3 linked regions of the Oryzias latipes genome follow. The protein of the gene in region 1 binds, or shares a complex with, the protein of each later gene. Links are inferred from orthologs where the notes say so. Each region holds a gene or a part of one and is shown in the gene's direction. Other genes may lie near its edges. The genes, in order: ncaph2, smc4 and ncapd3.

Region 1 (10,385 bases):
ATTCTACAATGAACATCATTTAAATAACGCTTTTGGGGTTGCTATAGGGTTGCTTTGCTAAATCTTGCAGTTACTATGGCAACCCTAGCTACTCCCTGGCACCGCCATGCTTGGTTCCGGTCCAGTGGTTAATGGCAGATTCCCATCAACCAGACTGGATGTCGGCCTCTTCTGCCCTGATCACAGCGTTGGACCACAAGCTCCTCAATCCCCCCACCCCAAGCCCAGTACCACTCAGACATGCCAGCGCTCACCTGTTCCGGACACAGGTGCATGATGGGATACTCGCTGGGGTGTTTCATTTCAGTGTGAAGGTGAATAGGAACCGACACAGGAACCAGATGTCTGCTCCTGTCTGCCTCAGCTCATCAGCAATGGATCTGATGAGAACCAGAACCAGGTCAGAATAGGAACCTAAATGAGCTCAGACTCTAAACCAGCTCAGAACCAGATCCATCTTTGAATCTGAACCAGAGACACACAAAAACAGAGACACAAAAACACGCACGTACACACACAGACTCAGATACTGGTCAGTGTTTTCACCACAAAGGATGAAGAAGAGCTCAGCTCCTCCGCTAGAAGTGTTCCGGATAAACTTATTTTTAGTCACAGCTGACCCCCACCCTCCCCAAAGACATTTATTCCAGCTGTCAGATCAGCAGAGCAAGTCCCGGGAGAGGAAGACTTCCAGAAGCACATCTTCCTCCTCCTCATTCATGTTCATCCAGTCTGGGTAATGGGCACACTTTAGGACACAGAGGAAGAACAGAACATTAAACAGAACTGAAGAATCCAGTTCAACCTGTTTAAACACCATTGAATCTGGTTCAGTTCATTCTGAATTGGTCCAGTTTGTTCACCGTCACCCTGATCAGATAAGCTTCATCATCATCATCTTCATTATCTCCTCTTCTGACCCGCTGCACCGATGTTACAGGCAAACAGGAGGACAGAGGACCCCCATCTGGACCCCCATGTGCACAACACGGCAATGGGGGAACCAGAATCTGGACACTTTATGTACACAAAAGTCACAAACAAAAAGCTGCAACAAAGTCAGCCGAAAAAAAGAGAAAATGAGAAGAAAAACAAACTAAAAAGTATAAAATAGAGAAATGACGACATTCATCCAGAGAAACGATTCAAGTTCCACAGCTCTATAATCAATTATTTTTAAGACATTTCAGAAATTTTTCAAGAAAAAGATTGTTTTTAAAACACAAAAACATTTTGTTTAAAAAAATCATTTATGAATAAAAACATAATTGTTAAAAAATAAACTTAAACGTAGTAGTATGTTTAGGGGATGTCATCTGAACTTGGTTTTAAAGTTAGAAGACGTTTCACTTCTTATCCAAGAGGTTTTGTCAATTCTGAATTAGCTGGTCAAAAAGCTGGTATATATGCGCTCATGGGGGAGGAGTCAGACCTGAAACTGGATGGTATTGTCAACTTAGCCTACATGGTTTAAGGTCGTTAAGAGTCCTTTGTCCTCAGCTGGGGGTTGGGGAGCCAGTGACTCCCTCCCCAAACTGGTCAGCTATTAACGACCCAGGTGGAACTGGTTTGGTTTGTTTGGGTTTCAGAACACTGCCGTAGATGGATGGAAGAATAAACCTGAGACACTAGAGGAGACACGCCCGCTTTAGAAGCCTGGCCGACGGTGGCGAAGCGCGACACAATCTTGGTGAGGTGGACGACGCCCACATGACAATGATTTCTATTGCTTTTAGTGGTGTCTAAGTAGCTTTTATGTACTGTATATATGTTTACATTTATATATATTTATACATATATGTAAATACATTATATTTATACATAATATATAGATATGTCATTTGTTGTTGTTAAAGAAGAGAAACAGTCAGCCTTAAAAGCTCAAACTTGAATGAAAATCCATTGTTGCAGGACTTCTTACTAATAAAAAATTTATTACAAAGAAATTTTAAAAATAATTTCTAAATATTTAGAAGTTTTATACCTCTTTGACATGTAATTTAAATTATTTAGAAAAACCCAACAATAAGTCAATAATAATAATAATAATAATAATAATAATAATAATAATAATAATAATAATAATAATAATAATAATAATTAATAATAATAATAATAATAATAATAATAAATCAATATTAAGTAAATACAAACAATAAATAAATAATAAGTCAATAAATAATGAAAAAAGTATATAATAATAATAATAATAATCATAATAATAAAAATAATAATAATACAATAATAAAATAAATATTCAAAAGAAGTCCAAAAGTAAACAATAGATTTACCCTAAAAAAACAACAAGGAAAAACAATAGATTTACTGATTCATGTTAGTGATCAGTTTGTGTAACACTGATGTTTTGGTGTCAGGTTTCAAGCAAACAGTCTGGCCTCTCATCAAAATCTGTTTCCACAAATGTTTTAAACTTATCCAGACTGTATTACTAGTTGGTACCACAGTGATCCATCTGGGTTAGTTCTTTTGATAGTAAGGCCCACTTTTTCCTGAAGTCTGAATCCATTAGAAACCTGCAAGAAAAGTTCAGTCACTGAGTCAGAAATGTATAAATCTATATTACTATAATAGCCTAGTATGCTGTATACAGGTTTAGCAAAATAAAATGTACATTTATGTCGACAGGAAATTATCCGTACATCATGCAGCATGTTGATAACAGCCCTGCAGCATCATGGATGTCTACATGAGTACGATTAATGTGTGTCTCTTTCGGCTTTTCCCATCAGGGGTCGCCACAGCGAACAAGTCGCATGGTAAACTTGGCAATGTTTTACGCCGGATGCCCTTCCTGACGCAACCTTCTCAAACCGGGCTTGGAACCGGCACAGGGGTAGAGAAGGGAACAGGGAGCAGCCCGGAGTCGAACCCTGGTTTCACGGACGGAAGGCGCCGCAAACCAGCACGAGCTAAACCGGCTCCCGTACATGAGTACGATTAATGAAGCCCCTAAAAAAATCAAAATACTTACCCGTAACATTATATGCCTTCCTCCTTCATGGACTCATTTCTCTGATTTTGGCAGTTGAAACCCAAACAATGAACTGGTATTATGCAAAAAATGTGTTCACATGCACTGCAGTAGTAACTTGACCTCACCAAGATGGCGGTGCTCTCTTCCCATGAGGAACCACGTGATGTCTCCTCTAGTGATAGAACTCATTGGTTCCAACTACCCCTGGCTCCAGCCTGCAGAACTGCACAACATAGTGGAATGCTGAAACGCTGAGGAATGTGAACACGCTGTGGAATGTTAACCCCGCCCACGCTGAGCCCGTCTTCTTTGGTTTCACAAGTTTCCATGTGCAATATTGCCACCTACCAGTTTTTAAGGAGTTTTTCCTTACCGTGAAGGGGGGGTCTAAGGGCAGGAATATCAGTTTAGATTAATCTGTTTTGTTAAGGTTTAGTATTAATCCTAATGCATTCTTTGTGTTCATGATCCCTTTTTCATTGTATGTTTACCTTACAATTACCGGTATGAAGCCCATTGAGACGTCTGTAATTCGAATTGGCGCTAAATAAAAAAACATTTTTTAATTGAATTAGAGAAATTATACAGTGATTGCTGTCTTCTCATGCCTTTTACAAGTTTCCATGTGCATGTATTAGGGAGTTAATAAATTTTGTCTGGCCTCACGGACTCAAAAAAATAACTCATTGGATGAACTCAATTTAATTGTGGGCAGGATTTCCATCCAATAAATATGAGTAACCCCACCTCAAAGAAAATTCTTCCATGTAACGAAATATAATTGAGTTAATCGAACTTAATTTTATCAAGAAAGGCAAAGGAAAAAAACATGCATCAGCAATCAGAAGCCAGCCTCGAACTCAGAACCTCTGGATGTTAAACCCACTAACTAATCCACTGAGCTAACACTTTTGTGATGTTTTCAAGCCGCCTGTAAAAATAAATAGATTTATTATTTACATAAATGAGGCTCGTCGTGTTTCGTCTTATTGGGAGAAGCCGAGTTGAAACGATTTCATGGCACAGTTTCGTTTTTTTACGTGGAAAAAACGAACGAAAGTTTTCACTTTTGAAAAGTCAAAGGATTTGAAGGACCAAAAGTCAAACCAGGCATTAGACGAAGGAGTTGAACATTTTAATAGTTGAATAGTTAAAATAGGTGAAAAATTGTTGCCGTAAGACGGCAAAAAGAATAAATAAAGAGAAACAGGAAAACAGCATTCAACAGCATGCCCCTTACTTGAACTCAATTATTCTGGATTACTGGAGTTGTCGGGGAAATTATTAATACATTTTGTGTTAGGTCAATTAAATGTAGATAAATTCTTTTAAAATAAATATTTTTAAATAAAACAAACACAATTATATTGTGTTACATGAAAGAGGGGCTTGAATCATTTTTTTGAGTGATAAAAAAACATTGCACCATTCAAATTTTCTTCCCCTCTGTCCTCTTTCTTCCTCATTCAATTCACAATGACACAAAATGTGCTCCACTTATTCTTCCCCTTTCCTGCAATCACAACTGCACTGATGAAGGTGAATCAAATGCACGGGCTCAACGTGGGCGGGGTTAACATTCCACAGCGTGTTCACATTCCTCAGCGTTCCAGCATTCCACTACGTTGAGCCATTCTGCAGGCTGCAGACAATTCTGCAGGCTGCAGCCTGGGCTTACTCGGTGGTTCTGCTGGTTCTGACCTGATTGATGTAAACACGTCAACCCGTTTAACAACTGGAATCTGTCAACAGTTCAACTTTATTCACAGCTTCTGCTACAGGTTTATTTCACTGAATATTACAGGAAAAGGTCCGTTTGACTGCGTTTGAGCTGATCCGAAATCATTCCCGGTGCAGTACCGCCCCGCGGCCACAGGGGCAGCAGACACCAAACAAGAGCGACGAATAAGAACTTCCGGCCGCGCGGGTAATTTGAGTGGAAACAGGCGCGAGCGTTAAGTCCGGTCAATTCCTTTGCTTAACCTTCCCTGTGGGCGCGTGCGTCTCCACAGGTGTTTTGGTGACGGACGTCTGACTGCTTTCCCGCTCTGCTGGAGAACTGCCCTCTTTGCAGGTAGACTTTCCACTTTTCATTCCCGGAGTTTAGAAGGTCGACAGTGACGTGAGGACACCGACCGACAGTCAGTGCAGACTAGAGAACAGAGTTGTTAGTGTTCAGGTGTTTTCATGAGACGTTCGGGGTTTTTTATGAGACGTTCGGGTGTTTCTCTGAGACGTTCAGTTGTTTTCGTGAGACGTTCGGGTGTTTCTCTGAGACGTTCAGGCGTTTTCGTGCGACGTTCAGGCGTTTTCGTGCGACGTTCAGGCGTTTCTCTGAGATGTTCAGGCGTTTCTCTGAGATGTTCAGGCGTTTTCGTGAGACGTTCAGGCGTTTTCGTGCGACGTTCAGGCGTTTTCGTGCGACGTTCAGGCGTTTCTCTGAGATGTTCAGGCGTTTTCGTGAGACGTTCAGACACACACTGGAGTCTTTGGTCGCCTCCACTCTTCTGGGTCCAGAATGGAGGTTCTGGGTTGGTGGTTTATCCGTGGCCCAAACGCCCTTCAGTGTTTGTCCCGGTTCCCTCCTGCAGATCCGACCCGTTCTTTGAGTTCTCCAGAGTCTGGAGGGGGCGGAGTCATCATGGAGTCCACAGAGAGCCGCTTTGCTCACCTGCTGCAGCCCATCAGAGAACTGACCAAGAACTGGGATGTGGACGTGGCGTCCCAGCTTAACGACTACCTGGACGAGGTAAGACGGAGACGAGCGCCACCTGTTTGGGGGGGGCTCAGAAGAACCCCAGCTTCTCTGACGTAAACTGAAGCTGACCAAGAACCAGGTAGCCACACCTGCTGGAGCTTTATTCAGAATCACCTGGACTCCCAGCAGCTGAGTTAGATGAACCTGAAACAGATTTAGATGACCTTCATCATGAAAACACTGGTTTCACTGAAGGAGGCGGAGTGCAGCTTGACTCTGATTGGCTGCTGTGATCATGTGATGCCCCCCTCCCCACAGTGGCTCCCCCTCTGTGAAGGTAACACGTTAACTTCCCTGTGTGTCTGCAGCTGGATGAGATGTGCATCACCTTCGACGGAGGAAAAACCCGACTGAACTTCGCTGAAGCTGCTTTGCTTATTCAGGGCTCGGCCTGCATCTACAGCAAGAAGGTGGGCGCAGTCATGTGACGGGTCATGTGACCCAAATGGACCACTGATGGAGCCTCTCTGACCATTGCAGGTGGAGCTGCTGCATCATCTGGTTTTTCAGACGCTGGAGTTCATCAGTGAAAAAAACAAGAAGTCAGTTCTGCTTAAGCAGTTTTGCCGCCATGTTGTCCAGGGCCTCACTGTTCTTCTGCCCGTGTCCACCGATGTCCACCTGACAGGCGGAGCCAGGAGGCGGAGACTGAGAAGAGCGGCGGAAGCAGAATGACGAGCAACAGGGACGATGATGGCCAGGATATGGTAAGAAAAGTCACTTCCTGTTTAATCCCTGTTTTGTTGATTGCCTACTCCTGGCAGCTGCTGCAAAGCATGTTGGGTAACATGAGATGTTTTTGTCTACATCAGTTCAGCCCTCTGGACCTGGATCAGTCACAGAACTGGCATCAGTCTGGTCTGAGTACGGTGAGGAAGCTTCCTATCCATGGGCGAGCTGGGGTTCAACTTCCTGTCTGGCAGGAAGCAGGTTTTTTTTTTCCTCAAATGAACTTTATTAACAAATATTGCACATTCAAAATATCAAACATTGACACTGTACAAAACTCAAAATGTTCACATTTGCCAGGAAAATGAACAAAAAGCCATAATAAAAACAGGCAGAAAACACTAAAACAGAAATAAAGTCTCAACAGTGACCATGTTTCCACTGTTCCAACAGCTATTGACACACAGAATCATTTCTTTAGGAAAATACGTTTTTTTTGTTAGCATATTTACACGTATGAATGGAATATTTGACCATAACTATAAGTAAGTTAACTATCTATGTTTTCTCTGCATTAAATCTCCCTCGTGTAAAATATCCAGAAATATGTTCATAGAATCATTTATAGTTTCACGGGGTTTGTTCTAAAATGAGTCAAATCTTTCCAAAATGTTGGAGTGAAAGAGCAAAACTGATGAGGCACAGTTTCTGGTGAGGAACGATAACATGAGCAGTTTATGTCCAGTTCTTTTTTAAATTCCAGGAAGAATATTCCAGATAGCATGATTAAACTTCCCTGACTTTAAGCCTGAACTCTGGCTGAAATCCACCCGAACTTGCTTACTCTGGGTATGTCGGTTCCAAAAGACCGGATATGAGTTAACGTAATCACGCTCCACTTGGTAACCCTGGGTTAATGCACGTGCACAGCAGGTACATAAAGACATTCTCAATGGATCGCCGCTTTCTGGAGTCACCATGGAAACACGTGGAAAAAAAGAAAGCGCTATACTTCAGTGAGACGGAGTCTGAGATTTTAATGACGCCGTATGAAGATTATACGTCCATCAAAAAAGTAACACGGCTGCATCATCAGCAAAAGAGAGTTTCTGCTTGGAGACAAAGAACAAAGTAAACGCACGAGTTTCTGATCTTATTTCCATTTTCTTTGTGACGCAGAAATATATATATATATATAACTTATCCAATTTTGCCAACTTAAATGAATTACTTCTATTGGTAACAAATAATTGAGTTAAAATTATTCAACGTAATTTCTTACGTCTATAAAACTCAATAATTGTTTATGCAACTCAAATTTACGTATTTATCTAACTAAATGTCATATTACTCCAATTCAATTAATATTTTTTCCATCTTAATTATATTTCTTGAACTCTCAAATGTCTAAGTTTGAGCCGGCAGATATTCTCATTTGTATAACAATAAAAAGGACGAAACAAAATGCACAAAGTGTATAAATTGATTAAATAATCAATAATCCTCTCCCTCCCTCTCACTCATGGTGCAGAGACGTAAGCAAAGTAGGACAAAATAACTCGACAAAACACAGTAAAACAGCTAAACAACTAAACACATTTGGTCACAAAGCCACACTTAAATCCAAATCCGTCCAGACAGGCAAAGGGAATGGTATCCCACAATCCTTTGCGGTGCCGATCTAACAGCACCTACTTAATTGAATTAATTTGAATGAAAGTAAAACAACTGTCTGAAAACTACGTTTTATTTTTAATCTAACTTAACAAAAAAAATGATTTATCTTAACTGAAGCAAATAATGAAGTTAGATCAAAGTATAAAGTTTCTCTTTCCAACATCCATATGTGGTCTTATCACTCTCTCATGGTGGAAAAAGTATTATCTGAGCTTCTTCATCCACTAAATCATCTTCAAATGGACACGCCATGCTGCTTCACCTCTCTGAAAACAAACTAACCTTCAACTAAACCTGCTCCAGACCAGGTTATGTTCAGAGCATGAGTTGCTATGGCAACTTGACCTACCCTGAAACATACCTCCATTTCTGGAACCGAAAGCTGAGGTTATCAACTTCCTTAGCCTCAAACTTACCGTGGGAGCTAGCAGAACCTGCTTCCTGGAATACCCCCCCCGGTGTCTTCAGAAAAGAGGCCGCGGCGTTACCTGTTAGGAGGTACACAGGTGTTACCTGTTAGGAGGTACACAGGTGTTACCTGTTAGGAGGTACACAGGTGTTACCTGTTGCGAGGTACACAGGTGTTACCTGTTGCGAGGTACACAGGTGTTACCTGTTGCGAGGTACACAGGTGTTGCCTGTTGGGAGGTACACAGGTGTTGCCTGTTGGGAGGTACACAGGTGTTGCCTGTTGGGAGGTACACAGGTGTTGCCTGTTGGGAGGTACACAGGTGTTGCCTGTTGGGAGGTACACAGGTGTTGCCTGTTGGGAGGTACACAGGTGTTGCCTGTTGGGAGGTACACAGGTGTTGCCTGTTGGGAGGTACACAGGTGTTGCCTGTTGGGAGGTACACAGGCCGTAAGCGTGTGATTGCTGTCATGTGACCCTCAGACCGTGGTCGTCACTCCTCTTCCTCCCGAGTCTCTGATTCCTCCAGAAAGCCAGGAGAAGCAGAAGCTGCCCCTCATCAGGTGGGTGGAGCGGCAGGGTCTGACCCGCCGGGCCGTGCGCTCTGCTCACAGCCGTCTCTTCGTGTGTCAGTGTGAAGGGGGAGGTGCTGTGCAGCCAGAGGGACTTTCGGATTAACCTGTTCTTCCCGGGGGAGGGGGGCGTGGTCTTACTGAGGCTGCGCTCTGCGCTGGAGCTGGACCTGCATCCCGCCAACTTCTTGCATCAGGATTCCTCTGTTGATGCCTCCATGGGTGCAGACGTGCCCCCTGAGGCAGGAGAAGACTGCCGTCCAGAAGACAGAAGTGACCAGGACCCAGAGCAGCATGTGGACCGGCACCAGGTCTCATCAGAACAGCACAGGTGCTCCACCTGGACGGTCCAGAACCTGAACTTGTTGTGGCTGTGTTGCAGGCTGGGAGCGGCGTCCGAGAGAAACGGCAGATCTTTGCTGAGGAAAGACCCCAGCAGGATGCCCCGCCTCCAGTAGGTCACCTGATTCCACAGACCACTTGTCTGTTCTTCATCCTGCAGATGTGCAGTCCCATCTCCTCTGCCTCGTTTCTGTCAGCCTTCAGGTGAAGGTGTCAGGTGCAGACCGGGCTGTAAGCCGGTCCTCCCGTTTTAGTCAGAGGCGTTTGTAGGACGTCTTTCTTCGTTCTCAGGACTTTCTGAAACGCTTCTCCACAAGTAAACGTCTACCTGAAGGTCTCTCTGTTCCAGGTGAACGTCTGGACGCTCCACGACCCCTACGCTGTCCTCGCCCACGACAAGCCCTTCAGGATGGGTCAGTCAAGGCCGTTCCTCAGCTGGGTGTCACTACACAAAGTTGTGTCCACTCACAGTTGTGTGTCTCCTTAGGGAGGTGCTACAGGGTTCCACACGGTCTGGATGAAGGAGGAAAGAGGAAGAGGAGGTGCCCTTGTCCTCTGCAGGACTTCAGGAGCTGGTTCAGAGGAACCTGTGAGAACTACTGCTCACACTGATGTTTCATGAAAGCCACATCATCATCCTCATGTGTGTGTGTGTGTGTGTGTGCGCGCGGGTGCTCGTGTGCTACAGCTGGTCCTATGGAGAACAAGCTAAAAGGTGGACCCACCTTCACAGGTACACAGCACATCAGGACTCTGGCAAACTGAGAGGCGGGTCTTTTCCTGACTCCACTTCCTGTTTCAGACCTGAACTACATCTACCTGAAGTCACTGAAGGACAAGATCCGGACCAGGAGGAGGCTCAATCGCAGAGTGGTGAGACCTGCCGCACTTTACAAGCCTTCAGTCTGGACCTGAACATGATGATGATTAGGATGACGTCCACCAGGGTCTGGTGATGTCAGA
Region 2 (10,385 bases), on another chromosome or scaffold:
ATAAGATATACCTAACTGCGATCTCTTCAGGTGGTATGGTAAAAAAGTTCTCCAAGTTTCTGGGTGACATTTTGCTTTTTATGAACAATCAGCTTTTGCAACTGGTCATCTTCACAAGATTTTAAATGGCTGGGATTTTGCAGACACAACACTTAGTTATGTCTTGAGTTTGTTGTCTTTTCTATTTGATCTTTCATAGGTTGATCAAGCAAAAGGAACAAAAATAAAAAGAAACCTGTATAAAAGGTCAGCTAAAAGAAACGGTCAGATTTCAAGTATGAGGGAAGTCCAAGAAAATGTGGGATAAGAAAGACGAGCTGACTTTTAGGCAGTTCTTCAGCATTTTAGTTGTTTTTACATGATCTAAGAGCTGTATTTCGAGTTTAATTCTGCAAAGTGCATAAAATTAAGTGGATAATAGGCTGTAAAACTAAGACAAAACAATTAGCCTTACCTTGGTTGGCTAAAGTTGAGCGCAGCATCCCAACTTTTGACCAGATCTTGATTAGCCCATCTTCTCCAGCTAAGAACCATAGAAAGCAGCATTACTTTAAAAAATATTAATGTGTATTGAATATGTTTCTTTGTCTAAAATTGACCAAATATTTATTATACTGCAGCTGTGTATGCGTTAGCGACATCCAAACCTGTAACAAGAGCAGTTCCATCGTAGTTCCATCTTCCTGCTAAGACTGCACCTTTGTGAGCGTCAACACTCTTCTCAATGCGCCCCATCTTGGAAACCAGGTGGAACTTTCCTTAAAAACAACCAAAAAAAAGAGTTGACTTTATTGTGACACTATTCTTCAGTCCACGTTTGCCCTGATGCAGACGAGTACGATCTAATGACTCTGTCCAAAACTGATTAATGCAGTGTTGCACCAATACATCTTTAAATGGGAGAACAAAATGAATTAAGTCAACATATTAAACAGATGAGCAACATACATTTGTCAAAACAATGTTTTAAAAGCACACATTTGAAAAAGAAAAAAGGAAAAACTGCAGATCCAAAATAGTTACTTGCAATTAATAGATGAATAAAGAAAATCTTTACTTTAAAAATACTTCAAATGAATTAAATTGAAAATTCCAGATATGTAACCAGGGCTGCAGGACTGTAGCATGAAAACGTTTCTTATAGATATTTGAGAAAATGCTAAAGATCAATAACAGACTGATCCTTTTGCTAAATGTGTCAGGGCTCACAGTAGTTCAAAAAATGATTGTCATGCATTTCCCTTCTCATATTTCATGTAGTATTTATGGCAACAGCTATTTGTCTAGCTTGTGTAAACTATACTAAAGAAAGCAAGAGAAAGAAAGTTGCAAAAGGGAATCGCAACGAGTCTCTGGCATGCCAAAGTAAATTGCTGCATCCGTTTTGCAATTCAACACTGCCATTAGAGTTGTGACCACATATTGCCTACCACAGCAGTCCAATCATGCTCTTATGTGTTCATATCTACCGTAACATGCATGACACACCTTGGCACTGTCTGGATTGTTGCCTTTAGTGACAAACCAAGTCATCCAAAGGCAAATGAAACAGTATGGTATCCTCAAACTAAGGAATACAGAAATTAACCATTGTGTATTTACCCAAAAAGTATGAAAATTACTATCATTTGCTCAAAGTAGGCAACATCAAAACATCTATGTTGCATCATGAATGACACTACACTAATTTTTGCACTAGTTGCGCTGGAAACAATTTATTAAGTAATGAGTGCAACTGCGGATTCTCACATCTTTATAAAAGTTGAAATGTTGAAATAAATGACTTCTATGGGGTTCCTGAGGAAAACTGTTGGTAAGAAGACAACTGACTGCTACTAATTATATAGTTGGTAACATTTTTAGGGACATAATCTAACAAAGCCCTACGACAACCTGTCCAGGATGTCCCCTGTCTTGGCCCACGAGTGGCCAGGATAGGCTCCAGCAGCCACATGACCCAGAAAGGGACAAAGCAGATTTAGAAGATGAATGAGTGAGTGAATGAATGAATGAATGAATGAATGAATGAATGAATGAATGAATGAATGAATGAATGAATGAATGAATGATCTAACAAAAAGAGCATCTAGGAGAGGCAGGGCTCACGAACCAGTAGAACTGGGATTAAAAACAATCTGAATTTCAGAATATCCTTGCAATAAAGTTATTAAGTATTTGAATATCTCATCATCCAGCAAACACAAAATCATTTCTGTAAAAAAGATAAAAATAAGATAATGATTGCTAGATGCCCGGGATCTTTGGGTTCATTGGTCGAATTACAGAACAGGTATGATTCATGAAGGAACAAATGTAAAAACCGATATATAGGAACATATGCTGTCAAAAAATGAAAAGGGAAAACTGTTCACAGCAGTTTGGGTTTCAAAAGCAACATTTTTTCGTGTAGACAAATTATTATTTACACCTGACGAATTCAAATTCAACATCCATAATGATGGAAGCAGCAGAGATTTCTGCAAAAAAAAAAAGTTCACGTCTCTAAAAAAATTATATTTCAGGCAGAGCAACTTTTTCTTCTACCCACAAAACTTCTTTAGCATAAAAAGTCTTGCATCTTTCAGGAACATAATTCTAATCAACATGCAGTTTCGTCATAAAAGCATGGGCACTGAAAAAAAACATTTTTTGGTTTTGGCCAATCATCATTGAAACGCATCTGGCACATTGCGAAACGGCAAATGGAATTTTTATGCAGTGAAGTCCAAGTTTAATATCAGATAAAAATGCATTTTATTTTCATGGATTGAAGTTTAAAAAAAAGAGTCACAGCATGGCTGGTTACTTAAAACTTTTTACTATCCTGCAGTATTTTGTAAAATAAATAAATATATTTAAAAACGGCTGATTGAGTCTTTCACAACTTGATATGGACATACTGTTCATTTGCTTTTTAAGATGCAGAGTGGGTTTTATAAAATACTTGCCATCAGTGCTGGTGAGGACAAAGATTTCAGCTTGGGTTTGTCTCTTCCCACCAACAGTTTTGGGGAACCAGTGCATGTCCAGGGGGTAGATGTCCTCTGACAGCTTGACGACCACATTGGTTTCATTGTTCACCAGGTTCCACTTGAGGATCTGATGATCATCACTGCATGAGTACAGCTCATCGGCTGTGGTCCAACCTAAACAACTTACAAGATCCTTATGTGAGCTGGTGTTAAGAAAAATAATAAAAAAAAGGACAAATATTACAAATTCAGCTGATTGCATGTTTTCTACATAGATACCTAGAATCTGGAGAACCTGCCCCCAACCCCTTTATTTATTTTATTTTTTGTTTGTTTTGTTTTGTCTTCATTTTTTTCAGTAGAAAATGCAAATGACAAGGTTTATCATTGCTGCAGTGGTTCTTATCAGCAGAAATTTATTTTAGTTTGCAGAAATGTAGGACAGAAAATAATTTAAAAACAATCTTAAATTGAAGAACAGCAATAATACTATTAAAACGGGAACGTGAAATGTCACAGTTTTCAAAATATTTTGCCATTCAGCTCAAATCAAAGGCAATAAGTTATAAAACAAGAGGGATCACGATGCAATTAAAGGATATGTTTTGGTTCCTTCTGCAGCGTAGTTTTTAGTCTCATTGTTCTTGTCTCTCTGTTGAATCCTAAACAAACAAAACACACGTATGTCAGTTTTGAATCAACTCTTAAGTCAAGCTTAACATTAGAGGAAAATCCAACAAAGAGAGAAAATGCACCAACACCAAACAAGCGTCTAGTTGCTATGTTACCAGGCAGCCACTGTAGCTAACTAACTAAAATCATTACCTTTTAAAATCGCACGGGGGGCATTCTGATGACCGCACTTCTTTTATGTGCCTCTTATCAATGTGTGAAAGTCATTTGATATAGTTCGAATATTCGATACAAATGAACCAGGTCAAGCAGCGTTGATGAAGAAGCGTTTTGTTTTCATGACGTATGGAAGCTAACTTTTTAGCCATGAAATCTCGGATGAGTGAACGGTTGACAGCCAAGTCATCGCGAGAGTTGTAACAATTTGCAACCTCAGCGTGTACTTATAGAGGGTTTACTTTTTGAGTGACTAATACAAATTCATTCAGAAAATGATCTTTAAAGTAGGCTTGCGTTATTACTGAATAATGTGTTGATGATCTCGGTCACTTCCAAAAAATAATATAAACGTTTCCATGGGGCGGGACTTTATTTTACAGTAACCGAATGATTCGACAGTACTGAAAACACAACTCTTTTCTTAAAAGATATCCTTACTCAAAAAATGAAAATCGTAAGTGATGTCTTTTTATGAAATTGTCATTTATCGCTTTGTTACTGTTGCGCCTTTCTTATCACTGGTGGAGCGAGGCGGAGTTGGCTTCGTCCCCTTTTTTGAATTTTGTGTTTTTTTCACACTACCATTTGAAAGGTCCATGATGCTTTGCGAGAGTTTATAACGAATTTGGTTCGACGGCGCAGTTTAGGCGCCATTTACAAGACAAGTTTTTCGAGAAAGGAAGCGGCTCCGGGTGATACGGCACACGATTTTGTGGACTATTTTAGTGTATTTTTTGCTAGACCTTGGATTAACCTATTCTTCTTGAAAGGTTTGGACTGGATCGAAACAGAAAATCAGCGAAGGACTTTTTTTTCATTTGTGGAAGGTACATGAAGAAAAAATAGAAAAAAAATATTTACTGGGTTCCGTCTATTTGCTGAAATTCATAGCGGTCGTTGAAATTGAGACAAACCTTTAAGTAAGCCACAAATCCAACTATGTTTTAAAATAAAGTAAAAGGAAAAAATATAGCATTGGCAGGACATTGATAGTGTTACTACTACTTATTGACTTTTTTTTAGCGTTTTTTAATAATTGCAACAATAATGGATTCTTAACTTAAGCCCCTATAGCATTACTGTTTATATGTTTATTACAACCTATACCAGTTAAAGGTGGTAATATGTCGGTCTGCTCTGTGATGCTAAGTTTGACATAATGATTAGTTAGCACCCCCCCTCCCCCCTGCTAACCTAACTATTAGCCGAGGGAAAAAAAATCGTAGTAACTTTTAATGCGACATAGTCATCCGGTAACAAAACGATTACGAAAACATTCTTAAATCATGCTGCATGTACTGTAGGTTTGGTTAGTTATTCGAATACATTAACAAATCGCGTTAGATGGCCAACTTCAAATTATCATTCCGCCCTGAACATTAGAATTCAGGGACTGAAAGCTAGTTTGCAAGTTCGACTGTTATCTGTTGAGCTGCGCTTTCAGTAGTGGTCATCATAGAAAACTAGCAATTCAAGGCTCGACACGAATTTCTCTCCCTCTTTTTCTTTCTTTCTTTTTTTTTTTTTCAAATGGGTGACGTAAACTTTATTTTCCTTTTCGTTGTTACCCACCGTTAAACGTTAACGGTTAAGGCCAAAAAGCATTTTTCCAAAGTTTTGTAGTTGGCTAGTTTGTAACATTTTTTTACGGGGATTTGTTTTAAAAGCTAACCTTTTTTTGATCCTAGTAGTGTTAAGATGAATAAAAATCGCTGTAACACACTTTTCCATGTTTTTGTTTTTAGCAACTATTTAAACTTTTGGAAGGAAAAAACAAATAATAAACACAATGGTATATTATTAGGAAGGGCGGCAGTAAGATTTGACTGGTAATGGCAAACTCCTGACACATTAGTTGTGTGTGACTGACCGTAAAGTGGAGTTGAGAGATTGACAGACACAAAAACCACTCATGTGTCCCCCCCCCCCCCCCCATTTATTTTTTTATTTTTTTACCAATGACCCCTTTAGATTTCAAATCATGCCATCCAAAACCGCAAAGAGCTCAACCGCCTCTACCAAGCCAAGAGGAAAAGGGTCGCAGGATGTGTCTGAGGGTGATCTGGATGTACCCCCTCAAGAAACTAACTCCAATGGCCAAGAGGAGGCACCACCGACAACTGGCAAGTAACAAAGGCTGTTTTGGTGTCTGTGAATCTAAATAAGTTGTTCAGTCAATGGCTCTGCGTGTATTGCAGTATTGCTAGAGGCCAACTGGCACAGCTGTAAAGCTCCTTCCCCTCCTCTATCTTAAATTGAAAAGAGTAGCTGGGATGGCTGAGACGTTTTCTAAAGTGCAACATAGAAATGAAATCACTCCAGGATGATTTTCATATCGTCGAATGCATTTCTTCGCCCGATCTTGACGGCAAACGAGGTAATTTGCTTCGAAATGGTGTGTTTTTGTTGTGACGTAAAAACGGGATTTGTATTCATCATGCCTGCAACTTTTTTTTTTTTTTTTTGAACAGCGCGTGTGCTGCTCTCAAGATGCAATTGTTGAAGTTCATTGGTACATGAATCTGTTTAATAATTTTTTTTCCGCTAAATGTCTAGCTGCTATACTTTATTTTTGAAACACCGTCAATTCTTTTGTATATATGAGAACACAAAAGATTTTGAACCGATTCTTGAAGATCGTTGTAGATCTTCATGCAGAAAAGTTTTTCCTGTCTGTATTTCATTTAGCTGGGTGTAGTAACGACGTCGCTGATATAAACGCACTTCATTTATCCTGGAGGTGTCCGTGGCGCATCAAACCGGAGAGAGACTGCGTTTGTGAGCACTGATGTGTGCTCGTTCATGTCCGATCCGAGGCTTGACTCTTGCTTTCTGAACAAAGGGGGAAAAAAACGACGCCTGTCAACTTTCCCCGGAGTCGCTTGTCTGTCTGTGCGACTTGCCGACTGTGTTTTTGTTTGTTTGTTTTTGTTCTCCCCCCACCCCTCCCCCATGGGCCACTGTCCCGTCCCTATTACCCCCCCCCCCCCCCCACTCCCCACCTGAAGCGATTCGCACAGAAAAACTGAAAAGTGCCCTTTTCTGTGCCACAGATTCGGCAGAAGGGGAGGCTGCCGAGGCGGTCGATAATCGAAGTTTGGAGGAGATTCTCGGTAGCATCCCTCCACCCCCGCCCCCAGCAATGACCAATGAGCCGGGCGCTCCCCGCCTGATGATAACACATTTAGTGAACCGCAACTTTAAGTCGTACGCAGGCGAGCAGATTCTGGGGCCTTTTCACAAGGTACGACCAAAACTTGATTCTAATCTACCATGTGTCCTGAATATATTTAACTATGTACTTAGATTACATTTAGTGCAGTGACGTGCGGTGAGGTTAATGGCTGGTGAGGCACTGACGTCATCAGTCAGATTTACAAACATATGAACCATACTGATTAATTTATTCTCCATTTGATTGACAACAGTTAAGGTGTTTTGTTTAAAATATCATTTCAACATGTTTTTTTTCATATACAAAACGCAGCATAGAAAAAAGCACAAACATTATTATCGTCTTACCTTTACTTGTAACTAAAGTCCATACGCCGCTCTTTCGGAAGAAAATGACTTGCCGCTTGCTATCACTTATTCTATTATTTTTTTAGCGTCATAATCTCAAGGCTCACCGGCGCCCCCTAACGTGAGGCACGGGAACTTCTGGCCTCACCCAGCGGCTTTTTCGCCGGCGTTTAGCGCTCAGCACAAGAAACACGTCCCTCACATACAGTTATTTATAAAAACAAACACTGTACATCATATACATCTGCTAAATTATGCAAACTCAGCTCATACAGTACAAGTGATTGAACCGACATACAGAGAGACAGCAGTACCGTCTGACTGCATAGGTATTGCGCAATCCAAGGTGAGGCTCAGCGGGCTGGTGCCTCATCGCACGTCACTTCTTAGTATCTGAACGGCAAATGCGGAAATTCAGCGATTTTGAAAAGAAAAAACACCCAAAATTGGTACATTTAAATGGAAAATGACTGCAAAGCACAAATTACTGATTAAATATAATAGTTGAATTTATTTTTTCTCTTTTCTTCCCATGACAGGTGAGGCACAGCCTCACCTGCCTCTCCTGACTGCACGTCACTGATTTAGTGTAACTGTTACTATCCAAGTCTTATTCATTTGATACTATTTTTTTTCTTGTCTGAAATCTTAGGTCACCTTTCTAATAAATGTGTCTTATTGAAATCTATAAAAAAATAAGATTATTAGTAAAAATGTTTAGAGAGAAAAATCCTTAAAAAAAGAGGAAGAAGTCACACTCCTCCATTTTGATTTAGTGTTTCTCTCAGTTTCTGAAAATCTACTGGTGTAATCACATTTAATGAAACTTTTTAAATGTTTTTTTCTTTAAAAAAAATCTTTTTCAGTCGCCTCATGTCCATGCAAGTTTCATATTGCTAAATTTAAGTGTTTAAATCTATATTAGACTTGTGTGTGGTGTCATCGCTGTTACTGACAGCTGTTGTTGAATCTTAATCTCTTGTATGTTTCATATGGATGATGCATTCATTTTTATTTATTTATTTTTGTCTCCTAATTTCTTCCCAGCGCTTTTCCTGCATCATTGGTCCAAATGGAAGCGGCAAGTCTAATGTGATAGACTCCATGCTCTTTGTGTTTGGATACAGAGCTCAAAAGATAAGATCAAAAAAGCTTTCAGTGTTGATTCACAGCTCTGATAAACACAAAGATGTGCAAAGCTGTACTGTGGAGGTGCATTTTCAAAAGATCATTGATAAGGTATACAGATATTTATAAACACTTTTTTTTTTTACACACAAATACAAACTTCACTAAAATGATCAGTTTGTTGTTCAAACAAACAAAAAAAAAATCACCAGAAATATTTTAGTTGGGCAAAAATGAATTTTTAAAATGTATTTGTTCTTTGTCGTTTCTAATGCAGTAATATTGCTGCTCAATTCTTCTTCTAGTGACCAAGTGTAAACTTAAATCAGTTGTGAAAGTTACTGGAACTCCCACACGTGCCACATTTGAGTCATTTTGCCCTAAAATTGATCTGATGGCAATGAAGGGAAAGAGATAAACAAATGCATTTATTGCCTCTGCTTTTTTTCATGGTGGCAAAAAAAAAAAAAAAGCAGTAGTGTTTGCTTTAGGTAGGATGTAATAACAGGCTGCTGTAACCACCAACTGTGAGCTACATTTTCCCCCCAATTAGAAAATTTTTTATAAATTAAATTAGCCATAGGGACTGTGAATTTGATCACACTGCTGAAGCTAAAATGTTGTGTATTTTTTAATAAACATTGATTTGTCTTAAAATTGGCACAAACTGAGAAATCTGTCAGTTTTGTATTTACAATCATTCCTTAAAACTACAGGGTTTTTTCTTTCAGCGATGTGCACACGGCCTTAAATAAATAGCCTTTTTTCTTCTTTCAACTAAACATTTTTACCCAATCCGTTTATCTTTTGTAGTTACAAGTTTAGGAAGCTTACGATGCAATACACTCCAATACACATTTAGTGTTTTATCTTATCCTTTGCCTTTATAGATGTAGTGCATTCTCATAAACAATATTTTATGTGTGTGTTTTTCTATGTAGGCCTTGTTAATAAGTGAATCTGTCAGTGTTGGAACAGTTTGACGTGTTGGGCTGTTTCAGCCTCTCCTGAACTGTTCTGTTCTAAGCTGCTGTGTCTTCTGCCCCTCCCCCCCCCCCGAGCCAGGAAGGAGATGACTACGAAGTCATCCCCAACAGCAAATTCTACGTTTCCAGGACTGCCAACAAAGACGGTTCCTCAGCCTACCATATCAATGGCAAGAAAGCCACATTTAAAGAAGTGGGGGCATTACTACGAAGTCACGGTATTGACCTCGACCACAACAGGTTTCTGATTTTACAGGTAATTATTTAGTGTTTTTCTTGTATTCTTTCCTTTTTTCCTCTTATCCTGCAAGTCCAAAAAACTTTATTTTTTTTTGAATAATCATGCCATTCTGTCATTTATCTTTTTTTATTATTATTTTTTTATTTTTTTTAGTGCAATTCTCAGGTTCTTTTTTGCTTAAATGTTTCTCATGTACCTGTAGGCCATGTCTGGAAATGTCATGGAATATGCTGTGGTGTCATAGAAAAGAACTGGGGAGGGGTTGCCCTCTGCAAGACCTTAGAATGCTGTAGCAGCGCATCATGGTTTGAAACAGTCAGAAAAAAGTGCGAACCATTATTTGCTGCTTTAGAATTTTAAGGAAAAAATGCAAAAAATTGAAATTCTCCCACATAAACCTGAATGTCAGTTGCTAAACTATTTGCTAGCTTAACAGAGTTTTTTTATATTTTTAATATTTTTTTTATTTTAATTTTTTTATTTTTGTGGATCCACTAATGGCGATGAGGTGGACCCTTCCTTTTTCAATATACCTGCTACGCTGTAGCAGCACGTAAATATTGGCGTGTGAAAAAAGCCCCCAACCCCAATATTAGCAGTGCTGCTTCAGTGTGACGGGATCAAACATCCTCTGTTGCCAGGACTTTAACTATCTGTCTTGGTTCACGTTTTGTTCTATTACTG
Region 3 (10,285 bases), on another chromosome or scaffold:
TAAATCTGAACCTTCATTCTGAAATATATTCCTATGACCACTAGAGGGCAGCGTCTCAATGAAAAAACGTCAGTTTTCTTAAGGAAATTCTTTCAGATGTGAAACATTTTTTACACCAGATCTTTACCACAATCAACTCAACAGCTCAATTGAAACCCTAAACTATTAGACACAGTTTGACTTCATTATTTTTATCTCCTAGAATGCATTTTTCCCTTCCTCCTTGGCAATGTTTTATTTTCCTTCTCTCACGCTTTCTTTCTAGGCCATTGACTGTATAAGAGAACTGGACTGAGTGACCCCCCCCCCCCTCCCCCTAGCATTCCAAACAGGAAGTACCTGCTGGCTTCAAGAAACCAAAATCCCATAGACTTCTATAGAGAAATAAACTGCTTTTACTCCGGTTATTCTAACTTTCTTGGTCTGATACTTTTTTTAAGCATATTTTTGGATTTTTTGTTTTCTGTTTTGCAAGTCTGAATGAGTATAAACTGACCAGTCAGATACTTCAATAAAAGTAAGTTGACAGATTCTCCCGCTTTCACGTGGTAGGGGTGTGGCCCTCCAACAAGTTCACTCCTGATTGGAGAGGGTGGTCACCATAGAACACGGACTCAGTCCGACTTGGATGTTGTCTGGTTCCAATGAGGTGGCATCCAAGAAATGGCAAATGAATTGACTTGGTTTGGTTGGAGCCAGAAGTAAACCATTTTCAATGAGTGACGTCACACTAGTTTCAGTCCAGTTCTCACATATAGTCAGTGTGCTAGCCTAATGCTCATCTGTTTATTTATACCCGTATCTATGCATCCATTCCCTCTATCTGTTTCTCCTGTTTTCATAGCTCTTTTGTATTTTCCATCCATCTTCTATATGCACCGTTCAGGGTCACAGGGATGCTGGAGCCTTTCCACATCTCCTGAAAGGTGCAGCTGGACTTCATCTTAGGCCATTTATTAGTCCATCACACACAGACAACAGACAATTTAGAGGCATCAACAAACCTATGAAGTGTGCTTTTGCAGCGCCACCAAAGTTAGCAGCGTGTGTGCGCTTCCTTTCTATTATTTCTACAGGATGTCTTTGACGTTTGAACTGTTGAATGTGATTCCAGTCATTTGGTGGAGGAGCAGAGGGAGCTGGCGAAACCTTTCCTGGAGATTCTGCTGCAGCACATCTGCTTCCAGGTCAGTCATGAAGACGTTGGATCAGCTGAGCTGGCAACAGCTCTTTTCACAGGATTCTGCTGTGTCGGCATGTAGATGGTGGAGAAAAGCGAGTACCGAAGCCACGGAGCCCAGGCTGTGGGAATGCTGACATCTCAGATGGAAAATGCAGATTACAGCCGCTTCATTAAATGGCTGTTTAATTTCTCCAGACAACCAAAGGTAAGTGTACAAATGGCTAAATATTATGACATATTTCTGCTCCATGCAGGAAAACTTTGGTCTCTAGCATTTCTGTATTTACAGCACTGTTTTATTATTTTAAATGAAGTTCAGGAAAGACTTCATGATGTAGTGTCCTGCTATTTCACATTGACAGTTGGAACTCAATAGTCATAATATGTTTTTGCAAAGGGGCCTTTTATTTTTACTAGATGGAAAACAGCTGATTTTTAAGGTGATCTTTGGGGGCTGACACTTAAAAAGAATTTAAACCTTTCCAGAAGATTTTAGGACTGACAGGAACTATTTCTGAGTGTTTCTTTAATCAAGTTGTTGTGAATCGGGAGCAGATGAAAAATATCATATTTGTGACGTACAAAATACGCTGAGTGGGTCACAGCTCCCAGCTCCTCTCTATTCTGATGCATCCCCTGGTGAATTGATGTAAACAGAGAGCTCTCAGCAATGGGGAGGGGAAGGGGTGTACAGTTTCTCCATGCCATTGGTCCCACCCAAAACTCGGAGGTGAATTTCTTGTGAACTACTGCTGCACTGCAGTAACTGTCCTAGAAAACACAGGTTTTTTTTTATTTGTGCTAAAAACGGCATAATCAGAATTCAAAGCCCACTGGGAATGATCTTCAGAAGATGATGGAGTGAGACTTTTCTTAGTCTGGTCTCATCACCAGCTGCCGCTAGAACCTCAGTGCTGACTTGTTGCCCTGCTGTCGGCAGATGGTCCATCGACTGTTCTCCGTGGACGTGGTCATGGCTTTGCTGGAGCAGACAGAGAGGCGGCTGGAGGAATCTCAGGATCCGGAGCTTGCCATCTTTCTGCCACAGAGGTTTTTGATCCAGGATCTGCTGTTTGCTCGAAGGATGGATGATTCTCCCACCGTCCAAGGCCACGCCCTTTCTTGCCTGGCTCAGTGTTTGGAGCTGCCCTCCCTCAATGTCACCAGGGCCGTCCACAACCTCTTCTCTGGCAGTAAGAGCATACTTACAAGCTTATAACCATGGGCATAAACTAGAATAACATCATTTGATGCTTTCAATACAAAAATAATTTAACAGTGACTCATCCTCGTAGAATTAAATCTAGATAAAAATGTTCAAATAAATGGAGGCAAAGTATTGAGTATGAATATAATAAATATTTTTTCATGAATTTTATTGAACTGTTCCCTGAAACTGACGTAAGACAATAAAATTAGGGGTGTGTATTGGCGATACGATACGTAACCCGATGTTGAACAGGGAAAAACCCCCCACCAGATAGCTTTATACGATACTGGCAGCAACGTGGCAGTGAGTTTCGTGACAAGACGAGCCCTGTGCTTTTATTTTGACACGCTTAACAGTTGACATCGCACAGGTCTCATCATCCTCTCCCTTTCCCACACTCTCATGGCGCAAAAAACAAGTACTGTCAATTAAATATAGCTTTCTTTTTTAAAAGTGGAAGGCTCCTCTTCCGTCTCCTGGCTGGGCCTTTTCCCCTCGGCAAAGAAACTTTCCAGAGACGTTTGTTTTTTTACTAATTTTACTAGCTGCTGGGTTTTATTTTACCAGTAACTTATACTTATCACGTGACCGAGAATAGCGCCTTGGAATGCGTCAAAAATGACATGGACTGATGTAACAGTAATGCAAGTTATTTATTCTTTCTGTGTGGCCCGGTACCAAATGACTCACGGACCGGTACTGGTCCGCGGCCCGGGGGTTGGGGACCACTGTTGTAGAGGGCAAATAAACTATTATAATAAACTTTAATAATAATAAACTTTATTTGTACAGTTCCTTTCAAAATAAAAATCACATAGTGCTTCACAGTAAAACACGGTTATTACGATATATTGGCGAAACTATTTTTTCCAACACCCCTAAATAAAATGATTTATTGAAGGATATTTAAACATTTGGAGTTTGTTTAGTATTCATCAACACTACAAAATCTTATACCTAATGCTATTCAACCTGTAAGGCAGACTTGGGCGCCTTTTCAATGCTTTTTTTCATGTGGTTTTCCATATGTTTGTGGTTTGTTGTACAGAGTACTTGGACAAACTTAAATAACATTATCATTGTTTTGTTGTCTTCATCCATTGACTAAAGCAGACTTTTATCTTCTATTTTCAGCTGGGACTCAGACGGTGCTGGACAGTGAACTCGCAGGAGGTTTGGGTTCCTTTTGCTTTTTCTTTGTTGCATCGAGGCTTGTTTGAAATTCACTTCACAGCCAAAAAAAAAAGTCAAAACTCTCTGAAGAATCTCAAATCGCTAAAAACATTTGGTACTCCAATCAAGTAAGCCTCTAGTTTATTTGTTTTCATTTAAAAGCAAAGTGCCAACAGATAATAAAACTGAGCCTATTAAATCACACATGATACATAAAAGTTGGCAAGTAATACAAGTTTTCCCATGTCTGAACAGGATCAAGCAGGAGCTATAATAGATAGATAGATAGATGTAGGATCCTCGCACTACTCTCATTTAATGATTAGTGTTCAGGTCTGATGATTTAAAAAAAAAAAGACTGCAGATGTAATATCGACATGTAGGCGGAGCTCCTTTTAGTTCGGATGAGTTGAGAGGCTTGTTGCTATTTGAAAATACAACACGCCATTAATTCATTTATTTTTTAATCGGTCATTAATCTCTGGGTTTATCATAGCGGCTGGGTAGCTCGGTTGGTAAGGTGAGAGGCTAACATGCAGGAATCCTGGGGCAATTACCATATCAATGGTGAGCAGTTAACATCACCCATTCATTGGAGTGGGTCTTTAACAAATGCAGCACCGATGTCAAGACCTCAGTGAAGCTTTATGTCAAGGCCCAGGCTGCTGTTGCTCCTGTTCTAGTAACTGTTGCTGCAAATGGGATTGTGTTGCAGTACCTTCGTGCACGCAGAGCAGCATGAAAAGCCTGCCTTTCAGGACGGTGGAGATCAGCTGTGTTGACGGCTCAGGCTCTGAAGGTGAGATTCTAGCACGTGCAAAGGCTCCGTCAACACTCCTGTGGCTCTCTGTCGACCATCTTGTAATAAAAGACTCTTTCCATGTTTTGTAGCGGCAAAGGCAAACCTGGCTCTTCTTCTTCGCCGTGTAAAGGACTCAAAGACAAATGTCAGGAAGGCAGCGCTGCAGGTGCTTTACTGTTTTTGTTTTGAAATAAAGGAAACTAAAGGTCCACCCTGGTCATCAAAGACCACACCCATGACTGTTTTCCAGCTTTCCCTGTTCCGCTAGCTGCTGCTGAGCTGACTGCAGGGATTCCACAGTCTGGTCATCATCATCATCATCAGCAAGCGGTGCAGGGAGAGCTAGAAAACAGCTGGGTTTGGGTTTTTGATGACCAGGGTTGGTCAGCCAGAAGTGATCATTTCACCCTATAGAACCTTTCTGGACTGACCTTCTTATGTGTTCCTCTGACTACGGTCTTAGGCCCTGCTAGGTCTCCTGAAGCATGGTGTAATTCCCCCAACCTGGGAGAATCTGGAGACTCTGTCAGAGCGCACCAGAGACCCAGCTGTGTCTGTGAGGAAGAAGGCTTTACAGTGTGTTGGAGAGCTGCTCAGTGTGAGTGATACCCAAAAGAAAACCACTTTAAAAACCCTCAAACTTGTACAATAACAGATTAAAACGGTAACTGTGTAAAATCCAATTCTCCTGCCAATGGCCTCTTTGTTTAGTATTTTCTTTGTAAAATGGGTAAAGAGAGATAGACTATCCAAAATTTGTATGCATGTAATGCTGCATTCACATTTCAATGTTAAGTCAACGTACGGACGCGATCTGAGGTCCTGCGGCGCGACTTGGGCGTCAGACGCGGCAAGGTTGGCAAGACAAGGTTTGGGCACGTGGCGTTTTTAGTGACTCGATCAAAGGGTAGAAAAATAAATCCAGTGTGGCCGCTCAATGCGAGGGTTTGTGTCATGAACTTCCATCCATTTTCTTTACCCGCTGGTCTGCGGGGTAGCTGGAGGCTGTGCCGGTTACTGTTGGGCGAAGGCGGGATACACCCTGGACAGGTCGCCCCGCCTCCCCCCTGGAAAGGCTGACTGGAATTAAGTTATGCAACAGTTTTTGCGCGAGGGATGTATAAATGGAAATGCAGTCCCCTCTTTGCTTTTTCTCTTTAACGATGTCACAGAATGAGCGGCGTTGGAGTACAAAAGGAAAAAGCATTTTGGAGGATTGTTAATTTTATTTTTTAAGTCAACAAATGCAGCTTTATTGTGAAAATGAAAAAGCATTTCTGGTATTGACTTATTATGAGACACAAATAATTCCATAGAAAATATGCATTTGAACTAGTTAAACTAGTTGGAGTATTAAAAATCTTCAAAAAGTTACTCAAATAAATGTAACTTGTTACTGCCCATCTCTGGAAATGGGAATAAAAACCTGTTGCCATTGGATGTCCTGTCACTACCAGGCCAAAGCCGAGTGCAGCACGGTCCAGAAGGCATGGCTGCAGGGCGTGCTGCCGGCTGTGGTGGACTCTGAGAGCTCGGTGCAGGAGAAGGCCTTGGACGCTCTGGAACAAGTGCTGCTTAGTCAAGTCAAACTGTACAATGGCGGCCATCACATGGACACAGATCAGAGGCTTACATGGGATCTGCTAGGCTTGTTGTCACATGAATGCAGAAACCTGAGGTAAGAACTGACCAGAACCGGTCTTTTTACTAAGCTAAATCCATTTTCTGTAGTTACAACTACTGTGATGCTCCACTGGTCGATCTCACCATGTTAATTCCCTTGGCAGTACTCTACAACATTGGTCCCCAAACCCTGAGCCGTGGGCCTAATCGGTCCATAGAACAGTTGGGACCGGGCAGCAGAGGGGAAAGAAAACATTCTACACCCTTTTTATTTAAAATCTGATTTTGAAGTTTTATTTTAAAAAGCTGCTGGATTCTCTCCACCACATCTGACACAATCTTGACGGACATCAAGCCGCTCTGTCATGCGTTAAAAAATACAACCATTACGTTCTAAAAGTGGCTGTTCCGGTGCTATATCATGCTATATTAACCCACTAGCAAAGTTAACAAAGACAAACGTATTTGAAAAGTTTCTTTTGGCAGAAAAGATGCAAAGAGGAAACAGAAGAAGAGCCTTTAATTTCAAAATAAGAGAACTGCATTTAACAGAAAAAACAGTCTTTCCTCCAAATATGGATTTATTACAGCCGTTGTTCCCACACACTATAATATTAATGTCTAATGATAATAATAATTATTATTATTATAATTATTATTATAATAATTAATGTCTAATGTTACCAGAAAGCTGCTAATAAAGTATTTGAAATGGTAGATTCACATTTATTAATACTTTTACAAAATGGCTGTTTTTGTGACCTATTTATTTTTTTAAATGTATTTATCCGTCTCATCATAAAAGTCAGACCCCCCCCCCCCATTTCTTTTTATTAATTTTTTTTCTTTTTCTTTATGAAGGTTATGGGTTAAAGGAAAATCTGTGGCACTTTACTGGCTGCCTTAAAAGAATCATCTTAAAGCCCCAGTCTGATCTTTTGATCCATTTTAAGATTGTTCCCAGTCTGTTTTTATTTTATTTTATTTAGGTTTTTTGTTTCATTTTTATATGGAATTAAAAAAAACCTGTAATTTTCTATAACATAGTTTTTGCAGAGCGTAGGAGTTTATCAAAAATGTTCCCTTTGAGATGTGGGCGGGACTGTTGGTGTTGACTGAGCCCGCCTTCATTTCCCATGATCCTTCTGTTTACACTCACACTCCTGCTAGCTTACAGCCCCCCGCACACCTCACAATTATCTTTAGCAGTGCAACAAAAATGGTGGTCAACATCAGATCTATCCAGCCGTCCAGTTCTGATCCAGATTCCAGCTCAGACCCGGAAAATAAAGAAGTTCATGGATCTATGTGTCTGACAGTGGATGATCAGAATGGAGCAGAGCAGGGGGACTGTGACTTGCAGGTTGCAGCTTTTCCATAACCACAAGCTTTCTACAACTACGTTTTTTCATCTACACCTTATTTCAGAACAATGTGAATGAAGAAATGCATTTGTGAGCTTAATTTTCTTTACATATGTCCTCCACTATGAGAAAAATCCTATATGTTAAAATCCCCATTAACAGCAGAGTGGGTCCTTCAATGATCTGTATCAACCACAGCAAACGGGCTGTGGTTTGACCAAAAGCAAAGCTATATAGACCTCAATTTAATGTGAGTGTGTCTTTACGATCACATCAGTCTATTTGCCAGAGAAAAGGAGATGGAGACTAATTGTAACATTTCTTTTGTTCCAGCCGTTATTTTAGCAGAGCCTTCACCATTTGGTCGAAGCAGAACAAGTTCACGCCGGCTTTCATCACAAACCTGATGTCACACTTTAAGGCCGATCATGCTGCAGGGGCCTGGCTGCTGCTTTCCAAGGTCGCCACTTCATGTCCCAAAGTCCCATGTGGCAAAATCCTGGACTCGTGGGACGCATCGATCAGGCGAGCACGAGTTTTACCTGAATCATTTCCAGACATTTTGGTACTGGTCATTTTTGATGATCCAATTGTGTTTGTTTAATTACCCAAAAATCTACTTTATATTCTTGCAGATCAAGAGATGTCGACGTGACAACCTTCTGTCACATTCTATCTGTTATGGGAGACGTTGCAGTTCATTTAAATGATGATACCAAGAACAGGATAGTTGGTAAATGATTGTGGAAAGGCGATAGACTTCACTAGAAGAAGCTGGAGAATGATGACCCTCCCTCACTTTTCTTCTTTCAGAGGATCTAATGTCTTTGTTGAAGAGTTTCACTTTGTCTCTTGAGTTGATCAGCACAGCCGTGCAGACTCTTTATCAGCTTGGCTGTCAGGAGAACATCAAAGAGACCCAGGTTTGGAAAGAAACCTTGTTTTAAAAAATATGTATTCGTTTTTGTTTACTTGTCGAACAAGAAGTGCGAGTAGCCAAAAGTGAGGGTCTTTCTCATCATACTTGGCTTGTTGTCCAAGTTAAAAATGAGAGTCCAGAGTCCAACTAGACAGGAAATATCATCCATTCATTTTTCAAACCCAATGAAGCCCTGTAAGGGACACGGGGTTGCTGGAGCCCATACCAGTTATTGTTGGGCAAAGGTGGGGTACTGAATAGGTTGCTGGTCTGTCACACAATCACTCACATTCACACCGAATCTCTAGTGGCATTCTGAAGTGGTTTTTCTGCATCGAGCCTAGCTGGTTCTGTGGGAGGAGGCACAGCCACCAGGTCCCTGCCTGCAAGCCCAAAAACATAATCATACAAGAACATATTCTCTTGACAAGAATCACTTTGGCTCTCAACCACCCAACCACAGTAAGATGACAGATAGATCATGGAGAGATTGAGTTGTTACCAAGTGTTTGTGTCACTAGTTTGGTGGGTCTGTTGTGGTAGGCATCTGTCTCCCCCTTGCGTTGTGACTCGTGTGTGTGTGTGTGTGTGTGGATGTTGTGCATTATGTTCATCTGAGTTGTGTTTGTGTCCATCTGTGTCTTTGATGTTATCCTCACATTATCACAACACTCTAAGCTCATATTCTGTTATCTGTTTTTTTAAGTTTCATGGAGTTTAACATTTCTTTCATATCAAAAATGTTTACTTCGTTTTTTGTCAAACTGTTAAACGTTTTGCATTTGAGGACTTTTTGGGTTTCTTGTCTTCAGGCCTTCCTAAACCAGCACTGTGGCGAGCTCGTGTCTATTTGTGAAGCTTATTTATCCGCTGTCATCCTCAATGAAAATGGAGCCCAGGACCTTGATGAAGAGCTCATGGTGAGCAGGCTTTTCCCTCTTATTCAACCACACTCCTGTCATTGCAAGTTGGTGGTCACTTGTCCCTCACCAAAAATGATTTTTCTTTTTATTTGTTGAATCAAATTACACTCGGATACAAAAGTTCTCATGGGGATCCAAAGCTTCTTTCTAAAAGATACATCAGTCTCTACGTTCTCTGCTGTGGACTTGCGTCCTAGAACAAAAAAGTTCTCAAAGGGTTAACTGAAATATTTGTGGTTCCAAAACAGTTTCTCTGCCCTCACCTTCTTTTCTCCCAAACACACTTAGCAGACACAACCACACCTGGCTGCAGGTGCATAAAGGTGATGGCCTTATGAGGGCATAGGCAATGCATCCATTATTCTACCTGCTAAATGATATCTTCACCTTTTGCTCTAACAACCATGGTCCAGTCAAGTCAAAATAAGTGTGCATGGCTTTAAAAAAATTATTATTTTTAAATATGACTTGAAGTGACTCACTGAAGAGTTAAATTTCTAGAACCGCTCTACCAAAAGAATTTCCTATGACTGCCGTCAACCATATTTTTAACCTTCTGTAATCAGCTGGTCAGAGGGGTTGTACTAGGGCTGGGCGATTAATTGGATTTTTTTAAACGATTTATTTTTTTGGAAAATCTAGATTTTAGTTTCCCAGCTATCTGCTCTCTTGCGTTTCCGTTGTCTGGAGTAAAGTCAGTCCGTCGGTCTCTCTCAGAGCGCAGATGTGGAAACAGCAGCAAGCAGAGAGGAGCTTCTTCCATGAGGCGGAAAAAGAAAACACTAGTGTTAGAGACTTCTGCTAGATGCCTCCTGTAGCTTCAGTTTAAGCTGATGAAGCAGCAGAACATGATGATTTATAACAGGATCTAGAAAGAACTGGAGGAAAAACCTGTTGAAATACAGCAGCAACAGACAGCTGTGTGGTTAGACTACGATACTACGATGCTTAATGCTAGGATGCTAAATGCTATCGAGCTGCTCCGGTTTAAAGTCAGACTATATTTTCACGGAGTGAACTTTAAGACGTGGAGAATAAATGAAACAAAAACCATTCATAAAACATTTATAAAACTTTTTTTTATAAAT

What was found.
Region 2: the proteins of ncaph2 (region 1) and smc4 are in contact, whole or in part, in a cryo-EM structure (PDB 9F5W), measured with the Homo sapiens proteins. The link is inferred for Oryzias latipes from reciprocal best matches to the Homo sapiens genes NCAPH2 and SMC4. Residues at the interface, in NP_689512.2 of Homo sapiens: Arg494, Ile495, Trp498, Glu499, Thr501, Val502, Leu505, Leu506, Gln509, Glu510, His512, Phe547, Cys550, Arg551, Met553, Leu554, Leu557, Gln558, Ala560, Asn561, Tyr563, Val565, Glu566, Ile567, Gln569, Leu573, Glu574, Ala576, Val577, Asp578; in NP_001002800.1 of Homo sapiens: Ile100, Leu101, Gly102, Pro103, Ile112, Gly113, Pro114, Ser117, Gln1151, Met1152, Leu1155, Phe1227, Lys1228, Ser1231, Ile1232, Phe1235, Tyr1236, Glu1239, Gln1240, Asn1253, Asn1254, Phe1256, Glu1257, Arg1261, Gly1264, Ile1265, Tyr1266, Lys1267, Thr1268, Tyr1269.
Region 3: the proteins of ncaph2 (region 1) and ncapd3 are in contact, whole or in part, in a cryo-EM structure (PDB 9F5W), measured with the Homo sapiens proteins. The link is inferred for Oryzias latipes from reciprocal best matches to the Homo sapiens genes NCAPH2 and NCAPD3. Residues at the interface, in NP_689512.2 of Homo sapiens: Trp22, Ser68, Lys69, Glu72, Tyr75, Tyr79, Leu82, Asp83, Ser86, Ile144, Ile145, Pro146, Leu147, Leu148, Met150, Ala151, Leu152, Val153, Asp156, Glu159, Asn161, Asn162, Asn163, Pro164, Leu165, Tyr166, Ser167, Arg168, Gly170, Leu173; in NP_056076.1 of Homo sapiens: Arg589, Pro591, Met629, Glu680, Arg683, Tyr684, His690, Lys724, Glu793, Asp800, Gln803, Arg804, Arg807, Gln817, Leu820, Gln865, Leu866, Cys867, Pro868, Ala869, Arg870, Val871, Val918, Ile925, Lys929, Leu932, Gln933, His934, Ala956, Asn960.

The regions. Positions count from the first base shown.
Region 1 is NC_019881.2:24,033,458-24,043,842, reverse strand, and holds the start of ncaph2 (condensin-2 complex subunit H2), read left to right. Parts: upstream 1-4,818; 5' UTR 4,819-5,069; intron 5,070-5,586; 5' UTR 5,587-5,636; coding exon 5,637-5,744; intron 5,745-6,061; coding exon 6,062-6,163; intron 6,164-6,233; coding exon 6,234-6,295; intron 6,296-6,381; coding exon 6,382-6,460; intron 6,461-6,565; coding exon 6,566-6,622; intron 6,623-8,991; coding exon 8,992-9,071; intron 9,072-9,141; coding exon 9,142-9,391; intron 9,392-9,462; coding exon 9,463-9,534; intron 9,535-9,771; coding exon 9,772-9,835; intron 9,836-9,909; coding exon 9,910-10,011; intron 10,012-10,110; coding exon 10,111-10,155; intron 10,156-10,224; coding exon 10,225-10,295; intron 10,296-10,368; coding exon 10,369-10,385. UniProt on the Homo sapiens protein: Regulatory subunit of the condensin-2 complex, a complex that seems to provide chromosomes with an additional level of organization and rigidity and in establishing mitotic chromosome architecture.
Region 2 is NC_019871.2:13,486,908-13,497,292, forward strand, and holds the start of smc4 (structural maintenance of chromosomes protein 4), read left to right. Parts: upstream 1-4,472; 5' UTR 4,473-4,516; intron 4,517-4,594; 5' UTR 4,595-4,651; intron 4,652-5,795; 5' UTR 5,796-5,805; coding exon 5,806-5,947; intron 5,948-5,968; exon of another isoform or gene 5,969-6,131; coding exon of another isoform or gene 6,132-6,201; intron 6,202-6,877; coding exon 6,878-7,068; intron 7,069-8,393; coding exon 8,394-8,585; intron 8,586-9,539; coding exon 9,540-9,716; intron 9,717-10,223; exon of another isoform or gene 10,224-10,326; intron 10,327-10,385. Other genes in the region: ift80 (intraflagellar transport protein 80 homolog), read right to left, coding at 455-523, 648-758, 2,949-3,170, 3,575-3,611. UniProt on the Homo sapiens protein: Central component of the condensin complex, a complex required for conversion of interphase chromatin into mitotic-like condense chromosomes.
Region 3 is NC_019873.2:3,922,142-3,932,426, forward strand, and holds part of ncapd3 (condensin-2 complex subunit D3), read left to right. Parts: intron 1-1,114; coding exon 1,115-1,187; intron 1,188-1,262; coding exon 1,263-1,388; intron 1,389-2,123; coding exon 2,124-2,376; intron 2,377-3,527; coding exon 3,528-3,566; intron 3,567-4,281; coding exon 4,282-4,365; intron 4,366-4,457; coding exon 4,458-4,534; intron 4,535-4,831; coding exon 4,832-4,966; intron 4,967-5,825; coding exon 5,826-6,046; intron 6,047-7,688; coding exon 7,689-7,880; intron 7,881-7,990; coding exon 7,991-8,088; intron 8,089-8,168; coding exon 8,169-8,278; intron 8,279-9,086; coding exon 9,087-9,194; intron 9,195-10,285.